Linked DNA regions of Macaca mulatta. The protein of the gene in region 1 purifies or fractionates together with the protein of each later gene. This does not show direct contact. Links are inferred from orthologs where the notes say so. Each region holds a gene or a part of one and is shown in the gene's direction. Other genes may lie near its edges.

What was found.
Region 2: the proteins of MEPCE (region 1) and SNRPN purify together in Homo sapiens (affinity purification with mass spectrometry; 3 studies listed by BioGRID and IntAct, counting the BioPlex papers as one, with this or other methods). This does not show direct contact. The link is inferred for Macaca mulatta from reciprocal best matches to the Homo sapiens genes MEPCE and SNRPN.
Region 3: the proteins of MEPCE (region 1) and YBX1 purify together in Homo sapiens (affinity purification with mass spectrometry; 3 studies listed by BioGRID and IntAct, with this or other methods). This does not show direct contact. The link is inferred for Macaca mulatta from reciprocal best matches to the Homo sapiens genes MEPCE and YBX1.
Region 4: the proteins of MEPCE (region 1) and SART3 purify together in Homo sapiens (affinity purification with mass spectrometry; 6 studies listed by BioGRID and IntAct, counting the BioPlex papers as one, with this or other methods). This does not show direct contact. The link is inferred for Macaca mulatta from reciprocal best matches to the Homo sapiens genes MEPCE and SART3.
Region 5: the proteins of MEPCE (region 1) and METTL16 purify together in Homo sapiens (affinity purification with mass spectrometry; 3 studies listed by BioGRID). This does not show direct contact. The link is inferred for Macaca mulatta from reciprocal best matches to the Homo sapiens genes MEPCE and METTL16.
Region 6: the proteins of MEPCE (region 1) and CDK9 purify together in Homo sapiens (affinity purification with mass spectrometry; 10 studies listed by BioGRID and IntAct, counting the BioPlex papers as one, with this or other methods). This does not show direct contact. The link is inferred for Macaca mulatta from reciprocal best matches to the Homo sapiens genes MEPCE and CDK9.
Region 7: the proteins of MEPCE (region 1) and SNRPF purify together in Homo sapiens (affinity purification with mass spectrometry; 4 studies listed by BioGRID and IntAct, counting the BioPlex papers as one, with this or other methods). This does not show direct contact. The link is inferred for Macaca mulatta from reciprocal best matches to the Homo sapiens genes MEPCE and SNRPF.

What each region holds. Positions count from the first base shown.
Region 1 is NC_133408.1:47,626,216-47,630,766, forward strand, and holds the start of MEPCE (7SK snRNA methylphosphate capping enzyme), read left to right. Parts: upstream 1-1,703; 5' UTR 1,704-2,101; coding exon 2,102-3,772; intron 3,773-4,030; exon of another isoform or gene 4,031-4,112; intron 4,113-4,551. UniProt on the Homo sapiens protein: S-adenosyl-L-methionine-dependent methyltransferase that adds a methylphosphate cap at the 5'-end of 7SK snRNA (7SK RNA), leading to stabilize it.
Region 2 is NC_133412.1:5,020,402-5,024,463, reverse strand, and holds the start of SNRPN (small nuclear ribonucleoprotein-associated protein N), read left to right. Parts: upstream 1-1,262; 5' UTR 1,263-1,367; coding exon of another isoform or gene 1,368-1,381; intron 1,382-4,062. Other genes in the region: SNURF protein, read left to right, coding at 1,368-1,381.
Region 3 is NC_133406.1:198,061,696-198,065,486, reverse strand, and holds part of YBX1 (Y-box-binding protein 1), read left to right. Parts: intron 1-558; coding exon 559-648; intron 649-976; coding exon 977-1,279; intron 1,280-1,510; coding exon 1,511-1,593; intron 1,594-3,791. UniProt on the Homo sapiens protein: DNA- and RNA-binding protein involved in various processes, such as translational repression, RNA stabilization, mRNA splicing, DNA repair and transcription regulation.
Region 4 is NC_133416.1:115,652,690-115,655,910, reverse strand, and holds the end of SART3 (spliceosome associated factor 3, U4/U6 recycling protein), read left to right. Parts: intron 1-606; coding exon 607-797; intron 798-1,481; coding exon 1,482-1,659; 3' UTR 1,660-2,603; downstream 2,604-3,221. UniProt on the Homo sapiens protein: U6 snRNP-binding protein that functions as a recycling factor of the splicing machinery. Promotes the initial reassembly of U4 and U6 snRNPs following their ejection from the spliceosome during its maturation.
Region 5 is NC_133421.1:3,966,112-3,968,718, reverse strand, and holds part of METTL16 (RNA N(6)-adenosine-methyltransferase METTL16), read left to right. Parts: coding exon 1-182; 3' UTR 183-2,607. UniProt on the Homo sapiens protein: RNA N6-methyltransferase that methylates adenosine residues at the N(6) position of a subset of RNAs and is involved in S-adenosyl-L-methionine homeostasis by regulating expression of MAT2A transcripts.
Region 6 is NC_133420.1:19,920,498-19,924,888, reverse strand, and holds the start of CDK9 (cyclin-dependent kinase 9), read left to right. Parts: upstream 1-1,425; 5' UTR 1,426-1,473; coding exon 1,474-1,565; intron 1,566-2,026; coding exon 2,027-2,108; intron 2,109-2,845; coding exon 2,846-2,936; intron 2,937-3,274; coding exon 3,275-3,441; intron 3,442-3,541; coding exon 3,542-3,713; intron 3,714-3,871; coding exon 3,872-4,020; intron 4,021-4,391. UniProt on the Homo sapiens protein: Protein kinase involved in the regulation of transcription.
Region 7 is NC_133416.1:103,187,213-103,191,358, forward strand, and holds the start of SNRPF (small nuclear ribonucleoprotein F), read left to right. Parts: upstream 1-1,346; 5' UTR 1,347-1,468; coding exon 1,469-1,471; intron 1,472-3,447; coding exon 3,448-3,573; intron 3,574-4,146. UniProt on the Homo sapiens protein: Plays a role in pre-mRNA splicing as a core component of the spliceosomal U1, U2, U4 and U5 small nuclear ribonucleoproteins (snRNPs), the building blocks of the spliceosome.

The sequences.
Region 1 (4,551 bases):
CCCCTCCACTCCCACTCCCGCCAAGGCACCGTGATCCTCATTCTCACTCATATTGTCAGTGCCCGTCAGGAGACTGGGCTGTTTTTGTCTGTTTCTTGGGGACGACAGATTCTGAGGAAAAAGGGCCAAGAGCTGGTTGTCGCCCTGAGAAAGTTTCTCCTCAGGCAACGGGTGCCAGGACTGGCGGCGCCTAGCACCTTCACCTACAACCAGAAACTAGCCGGCTACCTTCAGGAGCAAGGAGGACCTAAAGGCGAGGTGCAAAACCAGCTGGCGCAGCGACTCCGCAAGCCTCTCACACCTCAACCCAGGTTTCCCGCCACCAAGAAAAGGCACGAGGACGTCGGGCGCGCTAGCTCCACCCCCGGGAGGCGCGCTCGCGGAGTCTGAGGCGCATGCGCAACTGGAAACAGCGTCTGCGTTTCCGCGGCTGAGGTAATTCCGCCATCTTTCACCCGAACGTCCCGGGAAAACTACAAATCCCAGAATCCTCTTTGGTGTCACATATTTTTAGGCGGCGGCCGCAGCGCCTGATTGTTCTTGAAGCACATCTTACTAACTTTTCTCTGTTTCAGATTGCCTTTTCCTCCCTCTTTCCGTTCCCTGATTCCTCCTCTTCCTGCTGGTCTCCTTCACGCCCTCACTTTAGGATTTTATTTGAGACTTTCCGGGACCCCACTGTCACCCCTGTCACCCGCTCCTCGGCCCAGCACTCCGCTGGCAGGAAGACCGGGCTGCGAATCTCCCCGGGAAAACGCCGTAGATTCGCTTCTTCCTCATTGGCCGAAGCGGGGGGGGGGGCCCAGCGCGGACCGAACCCCCGTCCCCGCCCACACTCTCTGGTATATAAGTCGGCGCGGCGCCGCGGCGGGCGTTTGGGGAGGCCCGTGAGCTGACGGGCCAGTGAGCGGGCGTCGGGAATGGGCGGAGGCGTTGGGGTCCGGGCCGTGGGTGTGGAGGCGGAGAGGAAGGCGTGGTGTGGCGTCTCCAGGTGATTGCGATTGGGGGAAGGCAGAGGAACCAGAGAACGACTCAGCCGTTTCGGGGGAAGAGGAAGTTGGACAACACCGGCTGTTTTAGTGCTTTTTCTTTTTCCCCAATTCAGCAGAGAATATTTTCGAGGGGGGTGAGTTATAATGACCTATCGCGTTTTACTGAGCCCAGTTCCACTCCTGCCCTTCCTCGGCTTTGTAGGGTCTCTCTGCTCCTTCGGAAGCGCTTCTAAGAAGATGGGCAGAGGGGGGAGGTGTGCTACCAACAGCTCATGAATAATTCATGAGCACCGCCCTTCGTCGGGAAGCCCTGCCCCTCCGGATCGCGCTGACGCACGCTGCGTTTACCAAACTTAAGGAAGCGACGTCACAGGCCCTACCCCTAAGACGGGAGGCGGGGCGCCACCTCCAGCACGTGCTGCCTGTACCCGCGCAAGCCCAAAAGGGTGTGCGCAGGCGCTGCCCACTAGGGGGAGGAAGGAGGCGGGGTGGGGAGGTTGTTGGATTTAGAGCCGGGTGGAGACCGCTGAGACTCATTCCTCAGGAACAAGGGTCGGGTGTCAAGGAGACCTTTTCACACCAGGTCCCGTCCCCCGCCTACGGTGGGTGGGATCGCGCGGCAGAGACAAAGGAGATCAGTAGGGCCGGACCTAGCTGCGCAGGGAAGTAGGGTGTCAGTTTGGGGTGGTGGGCTTTTGCGGGGGCTGTGTGGGGGGTTATATTTAAACTCCCAGAGCCGTTAAGTTGGTTCGTACTCCGATGCGCGCGCAACCAGGGTGGTGGCGGAGTGCGCATGCGTGGTTCCGGGGCGAAGGGAACGCGCGCTTGCCGTGCGCGCTCGCGGCGGGGTGGTAGTGGCGGAGGAGAAAGGGGTCGGCGCACGCGCGGTTGAGTGCTCGAGTAGTTCGGGTGTCGCGGGCATCTTGTTTTGGTCTCGCGGGCGAGTGGGGCGCACTTCGCGGGGAGGCGCTTGGGCGCGAGACTAGGCGAGAAGAGCAGAGCTGCGCGCGCACTCGGGAAAGGGGGGGAAGGGAGCAGGGTCCAGGCAGGGGGGGTTAAGCCCCCTGATCCCCCTCGTTACCCCGACTGGGACGGAATAAGGGGAGGAAATGATCGAGATGGCGGCGGAGAAGGAGCCGTTTCTGGTGCCGGCCCCGCCGCCGCCGCTCAAAGATGAGTCGGGCGGAGGGGGCGGCCCCACTGTGCCACCGCACCAAGAGGCCGCCTCTGGGGAGCTCTGCGGCGGGACGGAGCGTGGTCCGGGTCCTTGCGCGCCGTCTGCGGGGTCCCCGGCCGCTGGGGTCGGTCGAGAGAGCCCCGGGGCCGCGGCCACCCCCCCCGGTGGTCCCCAGGCGCAGCAGCACCGAGGAGGCGGCCCCCAGGCGCAGTCGCACGGGGAGGCCCGCCTGTCGGATCCCCCGGGGCGAGCCGCTCCCCCGGACGTGGGGGAGGAGCGCCGGGGAGGGGGCGGGACAGAGCTGGGTCCCCCTGCTCCTCCTCGACCCCGCAATGGCTATCAGCCCCACCGGCCACCTGGGGGGGGCGGGGGCAAGAGGAGAAATAGCTGTAATGTAGGGGGAGGTGGGGGAGGCTTTAAACATCCGGCCTTCAAGAGGCGCAGGCGGGTGAATTCGGACTGTGACTCTGTGTTACCCTCCAACTTCCTCCTGGGGGGCAATATCTTTGATCCCCTGAACCTGAATAGCCTCCTGGATGAGGAAGTGAGCCGCGCCCTCAACGCAGAGACCCCTAAGTCATCCCCCCTTCCGGCCAAAGGGCGAGATCCAGTGGAGATCCTCATCCCCAAAGATATTACTGACCCGCTCAGTCTCAATACTTGCACTGATGAGGGCCATGTAGTTCTTGCTTCGCCACTCAAGACTGGTCGGAAGCGGCATAGACACCGGGGACAGCACCACCAGCAGCAGCAGGCAGCCGGAGGGAGTGAGAGCCACCCCGTGCTGCCCACAGCCCCTCTCACCCCCTCACTCCACGGGGAGGGCGCCTCACAGCAGCCGCGGCACAGAGGCCAGAACCGGGATGCCCCCCAACCCTATGAACTCAACACAGCCATCAACTGCAGGGATGAAGTGGTGTCTCCGCTTCCATCTGCTCTACAGGGTCCCTCAGGCTCCCTATCAGCCCCTCCAGCTGCCTCAGTTACCTCTGCACCCCCATCTTCCTCCTCCCGACATCGCAAACGTCGCAGGACTTCCAGCAAGTCGGAGGCAGGGGCTAGGGGTGGAGGCCAGGGTTCCAAGGAAAAGGGCCGAGGGAGTTGGGGAGGCCGTCACCACCACCACCACCCACTGCCTGCAGCAGGCTTCAAAAAGCAACAGCGCAAGTTCCAGTATGGGAATTACTGCAAATACTATGGGTACCGCAATCCTTCCTGTGAGGATGGGCGCCTTCGGGTGTTGAAGCCTGAGTGGTTTCGGGGCCGGGACGTCCTAGATCTGGGCTGCAATGTGGGCCATCTGACCCTGAGCATTGCCTGCAAGTGGGGCCCGTCCCGCATGGTGGGCTTGGATATAGATTCCCGGCTCATCCATTCTGCCCGTCAGAACATCCGACACTACCTTTCCGAGGAGCTGCGTCTCCCACCCCAGACTGTGGAAGGGGACCCGGGGGCAGAGGGTGAGGAAGGGACCACCACCGTTCGAAAGAGGAGCTGCTTCCCAGCCTCGCTGACTGCCAGCCGGGGTCCCATCGCTGCCCCCCAAGTGCCCTTGGATGGAGCGGACACATCAGTCTTCCCCAACAATGTTGTCTTCGTCACGGTAAGAGGGTCCAGAGGCTCTTGGAATAGGGGTCAGGTGTGAAGATGAGATTAAACGGGAATGTGGCAGGGAAGGTTATGACCCAGTTCCTCAAAAGAGAGGTCTGGGTTGGCAAGTGAGAGTCTCTGCTGGGCATCTCTCCCCTCTTATAACCTGGAAAGGTGGGGTCTCTACCTTGGGGCATTGACCCTGGAGTCCTTTCTCATGACTGCAAGGATCTCCAAGATAAAGGAAGACTCTCTTTTTTTTTTTTTGCAGTGCTCTGGGCTTGGCCTATAATCCACACTGGTCCACCTTCCCTTCCCTTGAAGGCTGCTGCTCACTAGGGAATTCGATCCAGGTGGAACTTGGTCCTCAGGTTGACTGAAGGAGCCTGAGATGGGGGTCGGGCATGGAATGTCTTCTAGGGAGATTAGGGTAGCAGCAGACTAATATTGGCGTTTCTGCCCTTTGATAGCCACCTTGCTCCCATCAGCAGCTTTTGTTTTTCTAGACAGTTTGTGAAGAGTGTCAGGAACCCAAGTGACTTGGCTGTAGATCCTCTCCACATTGACCCTAGATAATGGGAGAGGGAAGAACCAGAAACTCCTCTGCAGAGAGGAGAGCCCCATGCCCCACGGAGTCCCCTGACCCCACACAGCTCCCCAGAGAACTCTCCAGTTAGGCCGCCTGCTGGGATCTTTGGCATTGCATTGGGTTAAGCCTTGAAGAATGGTCTTTTTAGAGGGTTGTGATGAGCTTATCTTCTAGAAAAGGCTTCCTAAAGGATGTGGCTCTTC
Region 2 (4,062 bases), on another chromosome or scaffold:
GAATATGTATCAATGAACTATTAGAAATTGCAATGTTTTTGTAGGTCAAAAAAATTGAATATTGACAATTTTATATGGTTCAGCCTAATCATTTTTTCCATCAGCGATATTGCATGTTATTGTTTATATATACGTTTATTTACTTAGCCTATCTGTTCTCTGTGAGGAACATTGCACAGTTTCTGAGATTTTGTTATGATAAAAGTCAGCATTGATAAGCCTCTGTGCACCTGTTTTAATGTAGGATCATTGGGAACTGAGCAGTAGCTTACAGGGCTTGAGAGGGGATTTAACCATTTAGTCAACCTCCACTCCTATCACCCTCCCTTCTTTGATAATGGGCAATTGAGAAAGGGCAAATGTGTATAAAAACTATGCAGATACAGTTTCAGGATTATTTCCTTCTTATTCTCAGCAGTGTCTTTTCCCAAGCTACATCAGTATCTAAATTTTGGAGTTACGGATGCTTCCGTTATTTCTGCAGATAGAATATTATTAGGTCAAAAATAATGTTTCCTTGTCCATTAGTATTATATAAAAGTGTCAGTTTCTCCCCACTCCAGCTATCATTGATTATTGGCAAAAATTTTAATGTATCCAAGTCTAATAGGCAAAGAAAGGCTGTCTTACTTAGATCTTAGGTGGGGGGTCTAAGTTCATATTTTTGTTTTACAAGAATTGAATAGCCAGTGTTTTTGAATTGAATGATCTATCCGTTCTGTATAGGACAGTTTAATTATATTGTGATTTTGGGGAAGATATTTTTCACAATTTACCCCCTCAAAATGTAGAAAGTAGAAAAAAGGAAGAAAGATCCCACCAAATTTGAACAATGTAGCGTGTTTTTAGAGTTAGGGAGATTTTCTTCTGGAAGGATTTCAAGTCTGGCATATTTTCATTGATTGTGGTTATGGCGCATTTAACTTTTCCAAACCAGCTTTTCTGTACCGCACATAGGAAGACCTGAGGATGAGTGTAAATTAGGATTGTTTGGCCAGTGGTGTGTGCAAACATTTATTGTACAACCAAGAATTCTTTCTTTAGTATTTTACACATTTAAAAAAATAGGCATGTCCATTGATCCCAGGTTGCTTATGGTTTCTAGAGGCCCCCTCTCAATGCAACAATGCTGTGGGGCCCTAGGGGTCCAGTAGCCCCCACCCCCCAGGTCATTGCGGTCAGGGAGGGCACTGGGACCCCTGCACTGCGGCAAACAAGCGCGCCTGCGCGGCCGCAGAGGCGGGCTAGTGCGCATGCTCAGGCGGGGATGTGTGCGAAGCCTGACGCTGCTGCAGCGAGTCTGGCGCAGAGCGGAGCGGCCGCCGGAGATGCCTGACGCATCGGTCTGAGGAGCGGTCAGTGACGCGATGGAGCGAGCAAGGTCAGCTGCGCCGGTGGCTTCTCTCAAGAGACAGCCTGGGGAGCAGCCACTTTTATTCATCAGATATTCCAAGTTTTCAGGACTTGGAGTACTCAATAAACTGGGCATTTGGGTCCTAAAGTCCTTTGTTCTGGAGAACCAGATCCGGAAGGTTCAGAGGCTTGTGGCTGTGCCATTCGCCCCGATGGTACCCTGTCCGCTCGCTTTGGGGCGCGTCCTCCATCCGCCCCCAGCTGTGGTGTCACCACAGGTCCTATTGCGGTGTCTGCGGTGGGAAGGGCGGTGGTGACGGGGAGCGTGTGGGGTCACCGCAGCCAGCCAGGGACATGGGCGGAGGTGGGTACATCGGAGTGACTGCAGTTCCGTGTGGCGAGGGTACGTGGGGGGACCGGTGCATCGGGATTTGAGGCGGAGGTAGGTATACTGGAGTGATCGTGGCGGGGCGAAGGTACGTGGAGTGACGGGTATTTAGGGGGTGTCGAGCGCAGGTGGGTGTACTGAAGTGGCCACTGCGTGGTGGAGCAGGGTACGTGGGGCGACTGGGGGGTATTCGTCGCAGTGACCGAGGCGAGGAGGCTGTGGCAGTGGACCAGGGGGATGAGTCGGTGCGACCGTGGTGGGGTTTGTGTTGGTGATCGCGGCGCGGGAAGGGTCTGTAGGAAGCGGCTGGGAGGTAGGAGGAAGGCGGCGGCGGTGGGCATTGGCGGCTTTGGTGGCAGTAGGCATGGCGGCGGTGGGCATGGCATGGAGGCGGTGGGCATGGCGGCCGCGGGGCCTGTTGCTGTCTGGAGTGACTAAGGGACGCTGAATGATCGCTGTGGCGGGGAGGGGGCATCAGGAGGGGCAGTAGCACAGTCAGCAGCCTTTAATTTTCCTGTGACCTGCGGTGGTCATCTGGTTTGTCTGCTGTGGTGATGGTGCTTTTTTATTAAAACTGCGCAACGCCTACACTGCCGCAGGGGCTGCAGAAATGCGTGGAATCCTTGCCTGGTGTACCCTTTAGGAACCCTCGCTTTTGAGGCTACAGCATAAGAAGACAGGAATGATGTGCAGAACTTGCATTTACACATCTTTTGACGGATAGGCCAGGCGATGCCTGAGGGTTACCTTTTTTTTCATTGTTTCTCTCTGGAACCGGGTTTTGGAAGGCTGTGTCGGCACAGCCTGGGGGTCTGTGTTGCGTCACTGCCATTGTGCGGCTCCTTCAAGATGGCCGCCGCTGCAGCGCCTTAGATCTGCGCAAGCGCCTCAGGGTAGGGGGGGGCCGCTTCCTCTCTCTAGAGCCGCCAGTGGGGAGGGGGCGGCTGGTGTGTGTGTGCTCAGCTTCTGCTGTTTTGAAGTTTCAGCCGTATCCTCTTTAGGGTGCAGTGGTAAGGAGAGGAGGCGGGCTAAGGTGGGCGGCTGCCTCCTCCCCAAAGCGCTGCCTGGGGAAGGATGCAGTTGCGCAGACGCAGCAGAGGTGACAGTCGCCTCCGTTTGCAATGGGGCGAGACGGGGAGCAGGGGAGTGGGGGCTTATGCAGCTTTTGCCTGGAAGGGATGGCAGCCCTCCCCTTCACCTGGCTGATACAGCAGCTGTTCCTTTCCGGTTGTGGCGCAGTAGAGGGGGGAGGAGGGAGATGGGTTGGCACAGGCGCCCCTAGCAAGCTTGGCAGCCACCCCTTACCCACCGTGCGGCTGTAGAGGATTGGAGGGGAATGTGGCTAGAGGCCAGGCATTTGTACCACCTCCGCCTGTGTGGGATGGCAGCTGCACTGGGCTGCTTTTCTGTTCTGCAGTAAACTGGGGTGGTGGGGGTCTGGAGGCCATCAAAGGTGCAGCCACCCCAAGACCTGCTGTGCTGCTTCAGGAAGCCTCCATTAATGATAGAGATTTTAAATTGGTTTTCTGACTCCCTAGAAAATCCTGCCTTTTCATTTTTGCAGTTCTTCTCTTGGTTGTGTTGTGCGCTAATTCTCTATTCGAAGTGGACTTGTTAACCCCTTTTTTAACTCCCTGTAGTCTTTGAGTTCCACTGGACACATTTGATAAATGCCAAATTTACTCTATTTAAGATTCACTTATCCTTCGTAATCTCTGGATAGTCCATTCTGATGCACGGCATACTTCCCTTAAATGGGTTGGGGGAAGAGGGTATCATGATGGCTCTTCCCAGCCAAGGTTGTAAGGTGTTTCAAACACTGGACCCCTTCATCTTCTGGGAGTTGAAAGCTGCAAGTTGTGTTTGCAGAAAGAGAATAAAAGAGAAGCAGAAAAGTGGAGACGATCTTATTGGGGTGGGGTTGTACTTGGGATCAGAGTTAATGTCTTCTTTTGGAATTTTAAATTAATGATGATCATTTTTGAAGTTGGAGCTACAAAAATTTGGTGAGAAAGGTTAATGAATAACTGCATTTTTATATTCCAGTACTTTAAAAAAAATCATTTTATTCTAAGGATTTTGTCTTCCTTCGCAGGACTTTCAGTGCTTGCCTTTTTTGTATTTACATTTTCCCTCTATCATAACTGGTATGTCTGGTTGCACTGAGTTGTAAGTAACAGAAAGGTTACATCTACGAAGCCCGAAAAGCCTTGTTCTGGAATAATCTGTTTTTGGGTAGTTTTAAAAATAGCAGGAGTCTGGGATTTTATATGATACTTATAATTTACTTTTTTTTCCTGCTTGCATGGAGATAGCACTTA
Region 3 (3,791 bases), on another chromosome or scaffold:
GTCAGATCATATAAAGAATGACATAGTTAATACACGTGAATTGCATTTCCACTGACGTATTATCAGATTGGAAGGGATTTGGGTTGACATTTGTAATTGAGTTTGATATGGTAACACAGGGGCAAAGTTGGTTTGGTCAGCTGTGAAGCATGCAAAACCCAACTCGCCTGTCATCTAAACTGACCCATGTGGGGCCACCTTCTACTATTAAGTGCAGTCTTTAGGGGATAGATGGAGATCCTCATTTGTTCAAAATTACATATAATGCTTTTGCAAAAAGCAGTTTTTAAAATGTTGTGTCTGTCTTGAGTGTTAAATTACTTGTTTTAGTTTTGTAAATAGTGGTAAAATGCTGGGGCCTTGTATGATTGGAGTGTTTTTGTTGAAGTTGGGGATAGCGTGGTCCCTGCTTTCCCAAATTTATTGATGATTTGGTCTTATTTAAAGCAAATCTTAAGTGTATATCCAAGCTAAAATAATATTGACTCTGGTACATTTTAAATGAAAAAGCACATTATTCTCCCCTGTTAATCTGTTTTTGGAATGTGATATTACTAGACTGCCATAAAGAAGAATAACCCCAGGAAGTACCTTCGCAGTGTAGGAGATGGAGAGACTGTGGAGTTTGATGTTGTTGAAGGAGAAAAGGTGAGGATGCTTTTTGTGTAAAGGTTTGACTTCAGTATGGAAATATTTTGGAGGTCTCATCTGTTAGGATGGTGGCTCTAATGTGGATGGATGTGTTCAGGTGACCTCATGAACACAGGTGCATCAAGCCTAATGTTCTGGCTGCAGTTAGAGGGCAATCTCTTCAGAACAGTGAGGAACTGATATTTAGTCATTTCTGTGCACCCCTGGCCACGCAGTCGCCCACCCCCCTTTTTGTTTTCCTTAACTTTGTTTTTTGCTTTGTTTGAAATTTGTTGAAAGTGTTCTGATTTCCTTTGTCACTATCAATATGTAATGGCTTTTGTAGGGTGCGGAGGCAGCAAATGTTACAGGTCCTGGTGGTGTTCCAGTTCAAGGCAGTAAATATGCAGCAGACCGTAACCATTATAGACGCTATCCACGTCGTAGGGGTCCTCCACGCAATTACCAGCAAAATTACCAGAATAGTGAGAGTGGGGAAAAGAACGAGGGATCGGAGAGTGCTCCCGAAGGCCAGGCCCAACAACGCCGGCCCTACCGCAGGCGAAGGTTCCCACCTTACTACATGCGGAGACCCTATGGGCGTCGACCACAGTATTCCAACCCTCCTGTGCAGGGAGAAGTGATGGAGGTAAGTTTCACCATCAGCAACAGCAATGTGATAAGTTCTGGTAGGACTGTTTAGAGCTGTTAATCATATGGAAAGCACCTTTGATTCCTAGTAAGAACTAACAGGATTAATTTATAGTGTAGTCACAGTTACTAGATGGTCTGATTTTTTGTTTGTTTTTTAACTCTGGATTTCCTGGTAAGGTTATTATGTTACTGACCCAGTAGCCTTGATTTCCATTATCTTTTTCAGGGTGCTGACAACCAGGGTGCAGGAGAACAAGGTAGACCAGTGAGGCAGAATATGTATCGGGGATATAGACCACGATTCCGCAGGTATGGTCCACATAAACCTCTGTTAGAACTCAGCAATATCATGCCTCTCCCGCAGACTTTTGGACTCATTTTTCTGTTAACACTTCACGTTTCCTTTCATCAGATGCCTAAGAGGTGAACCTGTTAAAAACAGCTCATATAGATGAGGTCAGCTTTATACATAAATTTTTTTTTTTTAAATGATGAGGGTATGGAATTTCAAATTTTCTATCCTTGAACAGGTAAGATAATATTTTAAACCACGTCTTTTAAACCTGCCTCCTTGGTAGGGAGAAAGGAAAGCATTAGGAGTATCTGAATTGTACCATGGCATTAGTGAAGAATCAGCAGTAAGTGTTAACCACTTGAAATGGCATACATAATCTTCCACTAATTCTTAGTTTAGGTATGTACCCCCCCTTTTTTTGGAGTTGGGATGTCAGCTCAAAGTTGCAAAATGAAATTGCTCCATGAAGAATTTACATTCTGGGAGGAAAAATCTGGTCTATCATTAGACAACTAATCTATCTGCTTGAATGGGTATTAGAAATCTTATTAATAGATGTCATTATTAGAGTAATGGAGGAAAAATTCCGTGAGCCAAGCGTATTTTAGTCCATGCTGTGGTGTGCTTTAAGGCAGCGTTCCCAGTCCCACGATGGTAGGATAGAATGGTGTAATCGTTCTTTCTGTGAGGGTTTGCTATTGAAGTATTAAGTTTTCATAGGTGATCCCTAAAATCTGACAGGTACCTCTGAAGAATCAAACCAATACAGTAATAATGCATCTTAACTGATCACTTAAATCACAACTTTTAAATCCCCAAATTTTTAAGTGTCAAGTTTATTATTCTAGAAGTATCCAACATATCCAAAATATACTGTGAGTATATTTTGAGGGGGTTTCTGTATATAGGTTTTTAAATTTTACAAAAGTCGGAGCACTTAGTGTAGTTTTAGGAACTAGGGAATCTAGTTGAGGTTGTATTACATACTTATCAGCACGTGTACATTGAGAGTTTTGCAAGAGCAGCTGATGTCATCATATTTCTTGTGTTAATATATGTCCTGTCCTGAGTTTTCAGTTAAAAGAGCTGGGATCCTAACTGATCACTACTAGAATTGAAGATCTCTGATTCAGTTTTCTGCCAGGAGATTGTGTTAGCCAGATGCTGGATGTTGAAGATAGATGGGTTTTTATTTTTCAAAGTAGATCTAAAATAGGCTCTCATGTATTAAGTCCATGGGTTCCAGCAGCAGAATCTTTGGTTTACCTTTTTATTACACTGAAGAGCTTAAATGTTTTGCCAAACTAGTTTCATAGATGTCCTTAAAAATAGTATAATTTTGTGTTTGTATTCAGTACTTCAGTTCACTGTTGAGCAAATTGTTTTTATATTGACAAACAAGAAGCTTGAGATTGACTTGTCTCTTAGAAAGGTATCTTTATCCATTGTTACCCCTCCAGTGCAAAGGTTTTTGCCATTTCATTTAAGTTAGACTTAATGTCTACGTGTTTCCATGTTTAGAATGCTCAATCCTGCCAGATAGTTAGCAGAAGTAACATATAATTGCTTTGAAGTTATTAATGAATGCTAGACTTTCCAAACTCTGCAGGAATCTTTTGTTCAAATGAGAGTAAATGAAACATGCTGCGCCTAATGCATGGAGTGGTGTGGTAAAATCCTGGCTGGTGTGGGTTCAAGAGCAAATTGAAAGAGAAGTCTTAAGACAGAGTGTAGTACAAGTTTTGCTGAAAAGGAGACAGGTAGTAGGGGAAAATGGGGAGTGAAAAAGGGAGGGTTTTTTTTGAGAAATAATATTTATAGGCTGAAATGCAATCGAGGATAACGGTTGATGGCAGGAAAGTGACTGCTGGAATGTTTTCTTCCTCAGAGCGAGTTGGGTTTTGCCCACAGGTGAAAATGTTGACCTGTTGTTAGAAACCTGATGTTTTCATGTGTAAGAAACAAGAATACATGGGCAAACATGTTTAATGGGAAGACATGGAAGCCTTTGTTTGCTCAATTGAGTCAAAAGAAGAGGAAGTTTGAAAAGTTTGGGGCAAAGAACCCTGTAGCAGAGAAAATAGAGATGGTAAATTTGTAAGTAATAGGATAACAATCATAAATTAGAAGTGAGTTCACCCAGCTTGGCTCTGTGTTTCTAGCCATTTGAGCATCAGGCTCAGATTGGGCAGAGAGTTGGATTTCTCTGGCA
Region 4 (3,221 bases), on another chromosome or scaffold:
CCTCTCTTTCCCTGGGGCCTCCAGCCAGGCCCCTTGAGTCCCTCCATTGCAGTGCCTCTTCTACTGTCCTTCCTTCTTGCACGCTCAGTCTCCTCCTAAGTCCTTTTGTGCCCCATTTTGTGTAGTAAGTGGTTTTGTTACTGTCTACCCACCGCCCACTCTCCCTCCCCTTTATCCAGGTTAATGGAGAGAAAAAGAGGATGAAATGAGGGAGTGGGTGAAGGCACAGAAACACAAGGGCTCACCTGGGCACCTGGGCTGCTGGCCCTGTGTCCCATCCACCTCTTGGTTTATTTGCTGGATTTATACTGGTCCATCTGTCTGTTTCCTTCTTTCTTTCTACTTCTGCAGCACATACAAGGTGTACTGAACTTGGAAGGGTTATCTGAAGTTACAGTGCGTAGCAGCAGTTGGGAAGGAGAGTAGGGTGGGGAAATAAGCCTGTAGACAGAGGATGCAGTGGTGGGGAAGGTAACCTGTTGGTTGGTCATTTGCTGTGGCCTGGTCTGCTGGTCTCAGGGAGGAAGCCCAGTGCCTGCCCTGTGGGAGGAGGTTACGTCCCTGGTCTGTGGGATCTGACTTGGTTCTGAATCTTGCCTCTTCCAGGGCCTGGCCTATGTGGAGTATGAAAATGAATCCCAGGCGTCGCAGGCTGTGATGAAGATGGACGGCATGACTATCAAAGAGAACGTCATCAAAGTGGCAATCAGCAACCCTCCTCAGAGGAAGGTTCCAGAGAAGCCGGAGACCAGGAAGGCACCAGGTGGCCCCATGCTTTTGCCGCAGACATACGGAGCGTAAGTGCTTGCATGGTAGACTAGTGCAAACTTCGTCCTGGCTGGCACCAGTTCATGGACCATGGGGGGATTAACCCGGCATGAATTAGCTTCCTGTTAGGACAGAAAAGCCAAGACGTGCTGTTCCTTGTGGTAATCACTGTGGTTCCACTGGAGCAAGGCGTCCAGAGCAGGATGCAAGCCTAGGCAGTGACCTCTGCCTGGTACTGGCCAATTTACACTTGTCATTTATTTCAGACAAAACTAAAGGCAGTGATTATTTTCAAGTCCCCTTTGCCAGTTGGAGCTATGTTTAAAACGAAATCTTATACCCACGTGTGTGCCAGTCTACAGCCCTAGCTATATGATCCACATAAGCTGTGCTTTTTGCCTGCTAGGGATGAGGAGGAGATAGCAGAATTGCCGGGTGACTGGGGAGGTCTGAGAGGTGATAGTCACACTGATCCCCTCTGAGTGCGACTGGTGCTCAGGGTTGATCTTTGCCAAAACTGAACAAGGCCAAGTCTGTCGAAGCAGTTTTTACTTAACAGCCAGAATTAAGGAGGCAGGGATTATCTCATCCTTTTTTCTTTTCCCCCTTTTAGCTTCTGGTTATATTTAAAACTATCTTGGTTTATTTTTACAAATAAATGAGGGGCCACAAATTGTTGCTTCAAAAGGTCCATTCAGTGTTTGCTCTTCTAGGAGGGGGAAGGGAAGGACGCAGCTGTCTCTACTGCCTCGTGCCCTGCAGCGCCCAAGTGCTGCAGCTCCTCAGGCCGAGAATGGCCCTGCCGCGGCTCCTGCAGTTGCCGCCTCAGCGGCCACCGAGGCACCCAAGATGTCCAATGCTGATTTTGCCAAGCTGTTTCTGAGAAAGTGAACGGGACTCTGGGAGACAGGAAATGCCTTACTTCACTCTGGCCCGGCGGACCTCCCACCACCCCGCGGTGCACTGGGGATGGACAGGCCTGGTGTGCTGCCCGCTCGCAACCACAGATGGCTCCTCTGCTTTAGACAGAAAGGGGGAAGGGGTTCTAAGTCAAGAGCCTTTCAGTGCTCCCTCATATTGAGGGCAGTGGCAGAAAAGTGACCACTCTGCAGGCTCCCTGGGCCCAGGATGTGGTGTCCCAAGATACGTTTGTGTCTTAAAGACTGAGGCACAGAAGCGAAACGAGAACACGGTTTTTGAGATGCAGTTGTCCAAATGTTTCTGGCCAGCTCCGGCCCCTTTTTGTATGACACTTCTCTTCTACACTGCACAGCACATGTGCCCGTCATTCTTTTAATTTTAAAAGATGAAATGGCAGATGCTAGTAATTCACCAGAATGGCCTATTACGGGGGTGGGTCTGAGGGAAGTCATCTATAAAACATTTGCTGGATTTTTGTTCAAGGGGGCTGTGCATTTTTATATTATGTATTTGTAAATGACATGTCAGCCATTATTTCATGTTTCCTAAAAGCAGAATATTTGCAACATTTGTTTTGTATAGGAATTATTTGTGCCACCTGCTGTGGACTGTTTTCTTTGCCTAGTGACTAGTGACCTGTGTTGTCTAAACATGAGTTCAGCCCTTTGGTTTTGTTTAATACCATGTCAAATGCAAACTTCAATTCTCCCCATTTAGCTTTATTAAACTGAAGTTCTCTTCAAAACTTCTTGCTGAATGGTACTCAGATGTGCATTCACATACAGATGTGTTTTGAAGTGGGTGTACCTTGCTTTACCTAATAGATGTGTAAATAGAGCTTCTGTAAGTCAAATCCCATTGTCACTTTGATTTAAATTATTTCAGCTGTGATGTGTCTTCAGTTTTTATACAATTCAGTTTATAGCAGTTTGACACTGGAGCTTTTGAGCTTTTTTACCTCACATCTTTATCAAATATTTATTGCTTTGAAAACAGCATTGCCAGTTCAGTAGGGGAAGCTTACTTTATTAAGACACTCTGGAGAAAGATGTCAGGGAATCCTTGTGTATGTCATAGGAATCAACTCCTCATTTATCTGTTGTGTAAGTAAGTTTTTGTGCATCAGTCGGGCTTTTCTATATTTTTTTAACTTAACATTTTTTAATATAACCGATTAAAAAGTAGACAGAACAGTAAAATAAACTCCTGTGTGCCTACCATTCAGCTTCCAGCATTCCTCAACTCCCAGCCCCTTTTCCTTTATGTCTGTCTCCCTTCCACCTTCTGTTATATTGAGGCATGTTCCAGATGTCATTGTGCTCGTCCAGTAATGTTGTGGCAGGTGTCTCAGGACTGAAAGGCCTTCACTCCTAGAAACATTAGTGGTAATCCCTTAATGTCAACTGTCCACTCAAATTTCCACCTTCCTATAAATATCAGCTCTCCTCCCTGTAAATTATTGGTTCGTAAGCCTCTTACATCTTTTAAAATGTAAGTTCCCCTCCGTCTCTTTTTTACACAAAACAAACTTT
Region 5 (2,607 bases), on another chromosome or scaffold:
AAAGGGGGAAACGGCTCCCAGGAGTGGCTGGACAGTACCTGTTTAAGTGTCTGATAAATGTTAAGAAGGAGGTGGACGATGCCTTAGTTGAAATGCATTGGGTTGAGGGCCAGAACAGGGATTTGATGAACCAGCTTTGTACCTACATACGGAACCAAATTTTCAGGCTTGTTGCCAGTTAACTAGAAACTTCTTGCACAGTTGGAAAAGTGTTTATAGTAACTTGCTTTGCAGTGGCCTGTGGGGTGGCAAGAGGAATCCTACCAGTGGCCCATTAGTAGCATTATGTGGAATTGTCTTCAAACACAAAAACCAGTGAATCTGTCACCCACCTCCCCCGACCGCCTTCCTGCATTTTGAGTTACAGGGAGTTGTAGCGTGGCTCGTTTACAAGGAGGAATTGCTGTCATCAGTAACAACAAAAAGCCCTCAGTAAACTCCGAGGGATTGCAAGCTGGCTCAAGCTGCCCCTCAGCTTTGGACTGCTTCTTCAAGGCCAAAAGGGTTGTTTGTGGAGTCTGGGCTGGGCAGCACTGCCTAGAATGTCATGCTCTGTCACCCAAGGGTGTTTCTTGAGGAGGGGTGGCTCTCTCTGCCTCCAGTTGGAGGCCCTGGTACCCGCTTCTAGGTCACTCTTCGAGATGGGACCTACCTTGCGTCAGTCCCACGAAGGGAGCTAGCCATGGGTGGGTGGTGGGGAATCGGGGAGAGAAACCCTAATAATCCTAGAAGGAGGAGCAGAGTCTGGGGGGAGTACCCAGTAAATGGCACATTCCTGACACTTGGCTGTTTTGATGTTTCTTATTCAGAAGCAGAATTAGGTAAGCAAAACCCCCGGGTGTGACTGAGGCACACAGAAGGCACCCGTACCCCCACCTCCAGCCTGTTGAAAGTACCATTTTGTAGCAGTTTTACCACTGTATGATTTTTGTTTGGACATTTGAAGTAGAGCTTGTTTTGTTTTTAATATAGAATATTCAAAAATTAAAAACCAGTGGTCCTATTTGAATCCTGGGGTTAGCTGAGTGAGCGGCTGATGACAGAAATGAGAAATGGAACAAAATAGTATATGCCGTAGGTAGCTTAAGAAAGTCTCAGATATTTTGTTGCTGATCAAATACTGTTTTTTGTGGCTTCACTTGTAATCCCCTCTGTACTTACCTACTCACATTGGAGAGTTCTGAGGCTGGAGTAACCGTGTCCTTAAAACACGTTTCTAGTTGGAATGCCAGGGTTCAGTAGCAGTGCCCCCGGAAAAGGGGTGTCCTTAAAACACGTTTCTAGTTGGAATACCAGGGTTCGGTAGCAGCCCCCCCGGAAAAGGGGTGACCTTTTGCTGTGCTTGACTTAACAGTTCGATGTTGCATCAGCAGCCTAGGGTTCTCTTTAGACTAAAATCTTCGCCAGGGCTCCTTGCCATCTGCTAAGAAGACTGGGGCTGAGTAGTTAAGCCAGCCTTCTGAGAGGTGGCTGTTGGTTAGGACAGGAAGCTGGTGACCTTGGCATATCTTGGCATCTGCTAGATCAGGCCCTTAGCAGAGACACAGGAAGTGGAACTACTGTGCTTTCGTTTGGCTGTGGAGCTGGAGCTAGAGAAGACAGCATACTGACCAGTGGCTTTTTGATTGTTTTGAGAGGGAGTTTCACTCTTGTCGTCCAGGCTGGAATGCAGTGGCGCGATCTCAGCTCACTGCAACCTCTGCATCCCAGGTTCAAGCGATTATCCTGCCTCAGCCTCCTGAGTAGCTGGAATTATAGGCACGTGCCGCCATGCCCCGCTAATTTTGTGTTTTTAGTAGAGATGGGATTTCACTATGTTGGCCAGGCTAGTCTCGAACTCATGACCTCAGGTGATTCACCCACCTCGGCCTCCCAGAGTGCTGGGATCACAGCCGTGAGCCACCACACCCAGCCTCTGACCAGTGTTCTTAACTTGGTCCGTGGACCTCCAGAGAGTCCATATGCCTCCTAGAGTTACTTCTAAAAGTTCTGTGAGCGTGTGTGTGTGTGTGTGTGTGTGTGTGTGTTTCCTTTTTCCTGGAGAGAGGGTTCCCAGAACCCTCAGACATAGACAGAGGGGTCAGTAACCCACTAAGGGTTAAGAATCATTATTCTAGTTCAAGCATTCATGTGTCAGGCTGCAAAATCCAATACCCAGGGTCACACAGAGCCAAGATTCAATTCAGGACCGTGGATTCCCCTGGTCTAGTAATTTTCTGCTGTGCTAGCCCACAGCATCCCACTATCCTTACCTCGAGTGAATATCACATTTGAATCCTTTGCTGGACCCAAACCTAGTTTCCTTGGTATAATTTTAGGATAATTGGTTAAGTAGCAACTATTCACTCAGTAAGTAGTAAGAACTTATTGTTTGCTTGTTTCATTATAAAAGAGTGGCACATGCTCATCAAAGATTTGGAGAAATGAAAGTCAAAACAACAAAATCACCGCTAGTCCCAACCTTCTGTAACATAACCACTATTGGTATTGGCGTGTTTCTTTCCAGTCGCTCTATAGATGGGGTGTGTGAGTGTGTGGGTTTAACTTTGGTTGTGCTCATGCTGCATATTCAGTTTTATATTCTGGTCTTTTTTTCATTTAACATCT
Region 6 (4,391 bases), on another chromosome or scaffold:
AGGGAGATGGGGGGGTGAGTGGTGAGCTCCCGCTTGCATAAGGACAGCAAGCCTCCCCAGTGCTCTCCTCCTGGCCCAACCACGGATAGCCTGAGTCAAGAGAATCCCCTTCACAGTCAGACACCCAGCTTTGTCGCCGTGTGACCTTGGGCAAATGACCTCACCTCTGAGCCTCAATGTCCTCTTCTGCAAAATGGGTTAGTGATCCTGACTATGGGGCTGTTGATTCAGGATTCGGCGGAAACGCCCAGCACTTCCTGAGCACACAAAGAGTGCTGAGAAAATGGTAGCTGTTTTTTGCGATTATTGACCCGGGGCCTGATCAGCTCTGGCGCGACTCGGCGAAGGCGCGAGTCCTGCGGGTCCCATCCCTGCCTCCTGGAGAGCCAGGCTCCAGCGATAGAAGGCCCGGGCGTTGCTTGCTCGTCGCCTCCAGTGCCGCCGCGCCCCCTGGCGGCCGTCGGTTGCCATGTCAACGGAGGGTGGCGGGGACCGGGGGAGGCGGAGGCGGGGGCCGTTTTCTCCTCCCAGGGCCGGAGGACGCTCCCTCCGCGCCTCCCGCCTTCGCCTCTTGGGGGGGCACTCCGAGCCGGGGAGGAAGGGGCTCTCCGCGGCAGCCGGCATGTGGGGGTAAACTGAGGCACGCGGCTGGGCGCCCGCAGCCAGGTGCCGAGCGCGGGGCCCCACCTCCGAAGGCGGAGGAGGGGCCGCGGGCGGTGACGCGCCGAGGGCGGCCGGCGGACAGCGAGCGGGCGGGCGGGCGGGCGGGCGGTGGCGGCGGCGGCAGGTGCGGCCGCGGAGGGTGGGAGGGAGGAGGGCGGGGGCGGGCGGAGGAGGAGGGGAAGGCGAGGCCGGGCACCTCCCCCTTTATAACGCGCCCCCTCCCGGGCTCTCGGGCCGTCTCCTAGTCGGCTCTTCCCGTCTCGCCCCCTCGCCCGGCCGCCCCGGGCCCGGGCCCGGCCAGGGAGCCCCCAGGCCGCGGCTCGGGGGCTGCCCCCCCGCCCGCCGCCCCGCGCAGCCCGGCGGAGGCGGCGCCGTCGGAGGAGGAGGAGCAGGGCACTGCGGCTGGCCCCGGATCGGGCGCCAGAGCGGCAGCAGCTTCGGCAGCAGCGGCGGCCCGGGCCCATGCAGCGGGACGCGCCACCCCGAGCCCCAGCTCCGGCGCCCCGGCTCCCCGCGCCCCCGATCGGGGCCGCCGCCAGTAGTGGCGGCGGCGGAGGCGGGGGCAGCGGCGGCGGCGGAGGCGCCTCTGCAGCTCCGGCTCCCCCTGGCCTCTCGGGAACTACAAGTCCCAGGGGGCCTGGCGGCGGGCGGCGGGCGGAAGAGGCGGGGTCGGCGCCGCGAGGCCGGAAGTGGCCGTGGAGGCGGAAGTGGCGCGGCCGCGGAGGGGCCTGGAGCGCGGCGGCGGCGGGACCCGGAGCGGGAGCGGCAGCAGCAGCGGCTGGGGGCGGCGGCGGCGCGTTGGAGGCGGCCATGGCAAAGCAGTACGACTCGGTGGAGTGCCCCTTTTGTGATGAAGTTTCCAAATACGAGAAGCTCGCCAAGATCGGCCAAGGCACCTTCGGGTAAGGCTGGGCCCCTCGGGGCCGGGAGCCGTGGGCCTGCACCCCTAGGGCGGACGTCGGGATGCCCCGGGCCCCGCCCGAGTTGGTAGAGAAACCGTCTGTCCCCGGGCTTGCCCACTGGTCTTTAGGCCGCGCCGCACCCCGCCCCGGCCTGAAGGAGCCGGCTGGTGGGGAGGAGCCTGAGGCCGGTGGTGGGGGCGGGGAGGGGCTGCAGAGAGGCGCCCGTGAGGGGAACGGGATCTCTCCAAGAGACGCCCAAGTGAGGAGAAGGGACTGAGAGAAGGAAGCAGAAGCTCCGAACGAGACAGGGTGCCGGGTGGCGGGGTAGCCGCGTGCCCTGGGTACTTACCCCAGCCCCGCCCGGGAATCTTTTTGCTGCTGCCCCTCCTCCTGTAGTGGGGGAGGGGCGGGCCCTGCGGAAATCGCCTGATGAGCTCTCGGGTCTCCCTTTCCGCCTGCAGGGAGGTGTTTAAGGCCAGGCACCGCAAGACCGGCCAGAAGGTGGCTCTGAAGAAGGTGCTGATGGAAAACGAGAAGGAGGGGGTGAGTACGGATCGGGCGTGCGGGCCAGCCGTCTAACTGCCCAGGACCCCGGGTCGGTTTTCCACCCTGCTGCTTCTAGGAGTCTCAGGTTGAGATTTAATTTTTTTCGTAGTAGTTCAGAAATTTCCAGGGAATTTGGCCTCCACCCTAAAACTAAATGCTTCATTCTTAGGCAGTTATGGGTGAGACCGGGAGGGGGAGTTGATGCATGCATCGTGTGCACTTTAGTTCACGAAGTTAGGAAGCCTTTAAACACCTTTTTTTAGTGTTAAATTTTGCTTAATGTTAAAGAAAGATACATATGCATGCAAATTTTTGAAAAGTGACTAATACTCAGTTATTTAATGTGTTTAAAAGGAGCGGTCCCTCCACCCCATCTTAGCTCAAGTACAACGTCCCATAAACCTTCCTTTTCCTGATGTGCTTTAGCGAGGACATTTTTGAATCGTCATGTTTGTTGCCAACGAAACAGCCATAGAGCTGAAGTTTGAAGGCTGAAACCGCCGAGCATTTAGTGGCTAATAGCAAAGTATTGCTGTTTCAGTTTGTTGTCTCAAATCATCTCCTTGAAGTGTGCATGCTCCTACTATATCCATTTTACAGGCAGAGCTTCTGAGACAGCTGGTTTCAGAGCCCATGATCTTGCTCTGTCTCCCATCTTGCCTCTCAATATAGACCCCAGGGCTGGGCTCTGTACTGCGCTCACTCTTGACCACTTTCCCCTCTCTCCCACCCAGTTCCCCATTACCGCCTTGCGGGAGATCAAGATCCTTCAACTTCTAAAACATGAGAATGTGGTCAACTTGATTGAGATTTGTCGAACCAAAGGTAAGTTGTTTGGATCTTATGAGGAGATGACACTTGTAGCCTAAGGTTTTGTTCGTAAAGTTGGAACTAGACCCACCTAAACTGCCTCCTCTTAACTCAGATGGACCCATGGTGACTGCTTTCTCTGGTCCTCTTTCATCGTAGCTGGTGCTTCCTCGGGGTCTGCCCTGGCCCAGAAGAGGCACTCAGAAAATATTTGACCAGTGAAGGAAGGAACAGACAGATGCTCTGGAGGGCTTGGGTGCCCATGGGTTGGAGCAGGAAGAAAGAAACTGGTTGTGGGAAAGTGTGTTGGGTGTGGCTTTCTTGACTTTTTCTTCCTTGTATTCCTGCCTCAGCTTCACCCTATAACCGCTGCAAGGGCAGTATATACCTGGTGTTCGACTTCTGCGAGCATGACCTTGCTGGGCTGTTGAGCAATGTTTTGGTCAAGTTCACGCTGTCTGAGATCAAGAGGGTGATGCAGATGCTCCTTAACGGCCTCTACTATATCCACAGGAACAAGGTGGGGGCGAGAGCTGGGAGGAGGACCCAGGCTTGGGCTGGCCTTGGCTCCCACTACCGGGTGGATATCACTGAAGGAGCCACTCTTGCCCTTCTTGCAGATCCTGCATAGGGACATGAAGGCTGCTAACGTGCTTATCACTCGTGACGGGGTCCTGAAGCTGGCAGACTTTGGGCTGGCCCGGGCCTTCAGCCTGGCTAAGAACAGCCAGCCCAACCGCTACACCAACCGTGTGGTGACACTCTGGTACCGGCCCCCGGAGCTGTTGCTCGGTGAGGACTCCCGAGCGGGCCGAGGGGGGTGAGGGCCAGGCATCTACCTGGCCCCCGCCCCCCCACTGCCAGGGCTTCTTGAGCTGCCGGCCCTGGGGCATTGAGTCTCAGGAGGCCTCCGGGCTCAAGGGGCCCTCCTGGTGCGCTCTTCTTCCCAGGGGAGCGGGACTACGGCCCCCCCATTGACCTGTGGGGTGCTGGGTGCATCATGGCAGAGATGTGGACCCGCAGCCCCATCATGCAGGGCAACACGGAGCAGCACCAACTCGCCCTCATCAGTCAGCTCTGCGGCTCCATCACCCCTGAGGTACGGGGTCCCGGTCCCCCGGCAGAGGAGTGGGGAGTGGAATGGAGGGAGCGCTCCTCTCTGGAAGGGAGGCTGGTTTGGTGACAGGGCCTGCCCTTGAGAGCCACACAGGCTATGCGCCAGTCTTGGTTCCATCAGCCATTCTGTGGCCTTGGGCAGAACAACTGAGTCAGCGCTGGGTTTCTCTTCTGTGAACCAGAAATGTGACGTATGTCAGGGTTGGGCCTGGCATGTGGTATGTGCCAATCTGTGGCGGGCACTGCTTCTCTTGGGAGGGGTCGAGTTCTCTCTCCAGTAGTAGTCTGGGAGTCTCGAAGTGGAGCAGGTATTTTAGTCCTTTTAGGCCTTAACAAAGGGATAAGCCACGTACC
Region 7 (4,146 bases), on another chromosome or scaffold:
AGCTACCCTCAACTGGTAACAGTTACCTGCTGGGCCTGCTTCCTCATCTCTAAAACGGGGCTGTCACCCCGAATCAGACGGTAAGGTAAGATTTCCACAATTGTTGAAAGAGCCTGACACATAGTAGGAACTCAAAGTCTGTACAAAGACTTAAAGTTCATGAAACAATATACAAACTAAGGAAGAAATCCACTTAAGTTTAGGGTGAATAAATCTAATAACTGTTTGGTAAAAACTACACTGACAATGACTGTCTTGTCAGTGTTCAACACTTATGTGAAACACTGAGCTTTTACAAGGCCAAGCCCCGTTTTAGGTTAAATTCTCGCAACCACGCTGAGGATGGTTCCGTTTTTAAAGCCGCGTTCCTGCCGTGGAAACAGTGGCCCTGAGGGTTAAGACACTGCCCAACACCGGCTGCGCCTGATAGACGCAGGTTCCGAATGCAGGCCCTCTCCAAAGTCTTGCCCACTGCTCCACAGTGCCTCAACAACCAACATTTCATCCTCAACCTCAAATCCATCTCTTCAGGGCCGCAAAAAAGCGTTACTTCCCAAAGGGCGTGTTCTCCAAGAACTGCATTTAGCATTTCAGATCAGAGTGAGCCGAACTCACTAGGATTACGACAAAAACCAGTGAGATTCAGATAACACCGTTACGTCGAAAGTTTTAATCCGTGACAGCGGAAATATTGCTTACGCCCTTAGGTAATTTCAAATGCACGTAAGAAGGCCGTGCCAGTCTCTGCTGGCGATGCAAAAGAAAGATGGGGCCGGCGGGGTCGTGGGGGGTGGGGGGACATGACACCGTATCCCAGACACAACCTGACCTCGTTTAAAATAAATTCTGTATCCGACTCCCTTCGGTGCGTTTCACCGCCCCTAGTCTTGTCTGGCTACCCCCGAATTCCTTTAAAAGGGGTTGAAATGGGTGTTGCAGAAGAGAGAATACTCAGGTAGAAACGGCCTGCGGCAGAGGCGCCCCCAAATCATGGAACCTGTTGGAAGAGTGAGGAAGGAACTCTGGGATCCTGAACATTCTCACGGGTGTAAAAAGACAAAGTAAAATCCCCATTAACCAAGTTGGGGAGAAGTCACATCCGTCACACAGCCTCTCCCAGACCGCACATTTACAACACCGGCCTGCCTCCAGTCCTTGGCTGCCTCACCTTGCTCCTCAGAGCGGGTTTCCCAAGACCCGCGCGCAGCCGGCCAGGCGCAAACTCAAGCCGCTGCTGGTTGCCAGGAGATACTGGTCCAACCATCTCCTCCAATCAGCGCGCATCTCTTTTCGTCCAATCACAGAGGCAGGAAGGGCCGTGGTGGGAGGTGAAAGGTCACACTCCTGTTTGGCGGCCATTTTTCTTGAAATTCAGCGGCTCGGGACCTGGGGTACCTGCTGTAGTCACGAGGGACAAGCGGCAGCCTGGTCGGCAGTGAGTAGCCTGCAATATTCGGCCGTGGTTACGATGGTAAGGAGAACGAGAACGGCGGGAGAAGCGGGGAGAAAGAGAAGGAGGGAGACCACCTCGCGGGGCCTAGTGGTTGCTTCGCGCGTTTCCCATTCATCCGCGTGAGGCGCCGCGCACCCGGTCGCCAGCTTCTTTCACTCTGCTTTTAGGATTTCTGAGGCGCGTGCTCCTCCCGATGCCTTTCTTTTTCTAGGAGTGCCCGTGCCTTCTCCTCTTTGTTTGAATCCGGGCTTGGGATATTCTTATTTGTGGCTACAGGGTCGGGGTAAAACTCAAAGAGAATTTGCACTTCCCACTTAACCACACTCCAAAATTCACTTTCATTGCATGAAAGTAATGATACGGCCATGCTCTAGTTTAACTCGGTTGGGGAAGACAGACAGTCAAAAAATAACAAATATGCAATTGCAAGTAATAAGTGCTAAGAAGAATGCAGACAGGAGGCTGTGAGGGTGCGCGTTAGACATTTAGAGGCTTAGTCAGAGATGGCCTCCCTAGGAGGTGGAATTTAACCTGAAGCCTAAGTGTCATGAAATAGACCCTTTAAAGAGCAGGAGGAGGAGTGTACCGAGCACAGAGAATAGGCGCATAAGACCTGCGGCCGGAAAGAAAGCTTGGTCAGTTGGAGAAATTGACAAAAAGGTACAGCCACTTGCAGGAAGAGTGGTTACGAGATGGTGTCGGAGGAGCAGGCGTTGGACAGGACCTCTTAGGCTGTATTGGGAGGTTTTGATTGTACTCCAAATCAATTGAAAATGATTGAGTTGGAAGCCATTGAATCATTTTAAGCAGAAATATGACAATTTGATGTGCACTTTAAAAAATCATGTTGCTGTGGTGGATAATAAATTGGAGAATGAAAACTGGAGACCCATTAGGTTATTGGAGTAATCGCCGCATCAAGTCACTCCGAATATGTTTATGTTAGAGGGGGTTAGTAGCCAAGTTTCTTAGTTCTGTTCTTTCTTTGACTGGTGAGTGAGCAGAAAAAGGCAAAAACCGAATTCACTGGAGATGTTAATGGTTTGCTGAGCAAACTTTAAGTGATTGCTATAAGAGGCAGTGCTAGTGACAAAGTCATTTAGGACCTAGCCCTAGCTTCCACAGTTAAAGACTGTCAAGCGTCATCTGCCCTCTGCTTCCTTCTGTAGTCTTATATTTGGGACTTTGACTGACAATGCTGAATTGTATGTCCCCAAAATCACCTTGTTGCTTCACTCTTCCCTCCTTTTACATAAGTAGCTAGCCTTGCCTGGAACAGGATTTTTTCCCGCTCTGGAAATAAATTCTCATTCTTTAAAACTGAGGTTAACTTATTTCAGGCAACCTTTCCTTTTTTCCCTGGATTGCTTCGGTACCCTTGTGCCTAGTATATCTCCTCTTATTATGTTGCAATATGCAGTATAATTATTTGTATGTGAGGAGCCCCCCTCCCCATCTCCAACTTCTTGACAGGGACTCTGTTATTTATTTATGACAAGGTCTTGCTCTGTTCCCTAGTAGCCGGGACTACAGGTGTGCACCACCACATCTGACTATTTTTGGTAGAGAAGGTGGTCTCACTATGTTGCCTGGGCTGGTCTTGAAATTCTGGCCTCAAGTGATCCCCCTGCCTTGGCCTTCCAGAATGCTGGAATTACAGATATGAGCCACCCTTTCTGGCCCGCATTTTTTTTTTTTTTAAGTGCCTTTATCTTTGTTTCTTTAGAGCTCAGAACAGTAAGTGATGTATGTAGTCGGTGTTATCTTAAGTGAATAGTGAGTATTTTGTTTTGATGGGTTAAAGGTGATACTGGCTAACTGGATATTTAAATTTCCCTGGTACTCTCCAATAAATGAAAGTGAAAATTGTGTACTAAAATAATGAGTCAAGAGTTTTCTTCATTTGCATACCACAAAATATTGGTATTTAGTAGAAGAGAGTTGGTGGTGGGAGGAAAAATAATTAATTGGATCCTTTTTTGTTCTTTGTGCAGAGTTTACCCCTCAATCCCAAACCTTTCCTCAATGGACTAACAGGAAAGCCAGTGATGGTGAAACTTAAGTGGGGAATGGAGTACAAGGGCTATCTGGTATCTGTAGATGGCTACATGAACATGCAGGTAAGCTAAAGAGCTGTAAAGGTCATAACATTGCATTTAGTTTGCTTCACCTTATTGCTCAAAGGTTTAGTCTGACTAATAAGAATACATACAATTAAATTGACAAATGTACGGCAAAATTAAAAAATAAAGTCAAAGCCAGGGAGGATACTATGATATACTAGGTACAAGACATGGACTTAAACCAGAATTCAGCCACAGATTTTATTCCTAGTAGTTAAAGTAAGAAGAGCTCAGACATTTAATTCATAATAATACTGTAAGGGAAACACACTACTTTGCTGGAGAAAACAAAACATTTCTCATCATTTAGCCCTGAAAGAAAGTTTTCAAGTGAAATTCATGAGTCTTTTAATGAATGATGCTAAAGGCACAACACCAAAGTTATTGAGGAAATTCATTCCTTCAGGGGAAAGACACATCTGCCGAAGAAATTGAACTGACTGTATGTCTGTCAAATGAGTTTCTGTAAATGATTCAGCCATGTGTTTTGGTGGGGTTTTTTTTGTAATTAATTTTCTTTTTATTGTGGTAAAATATACATTACAATTTTGCCACTCTAACCATTTTTAA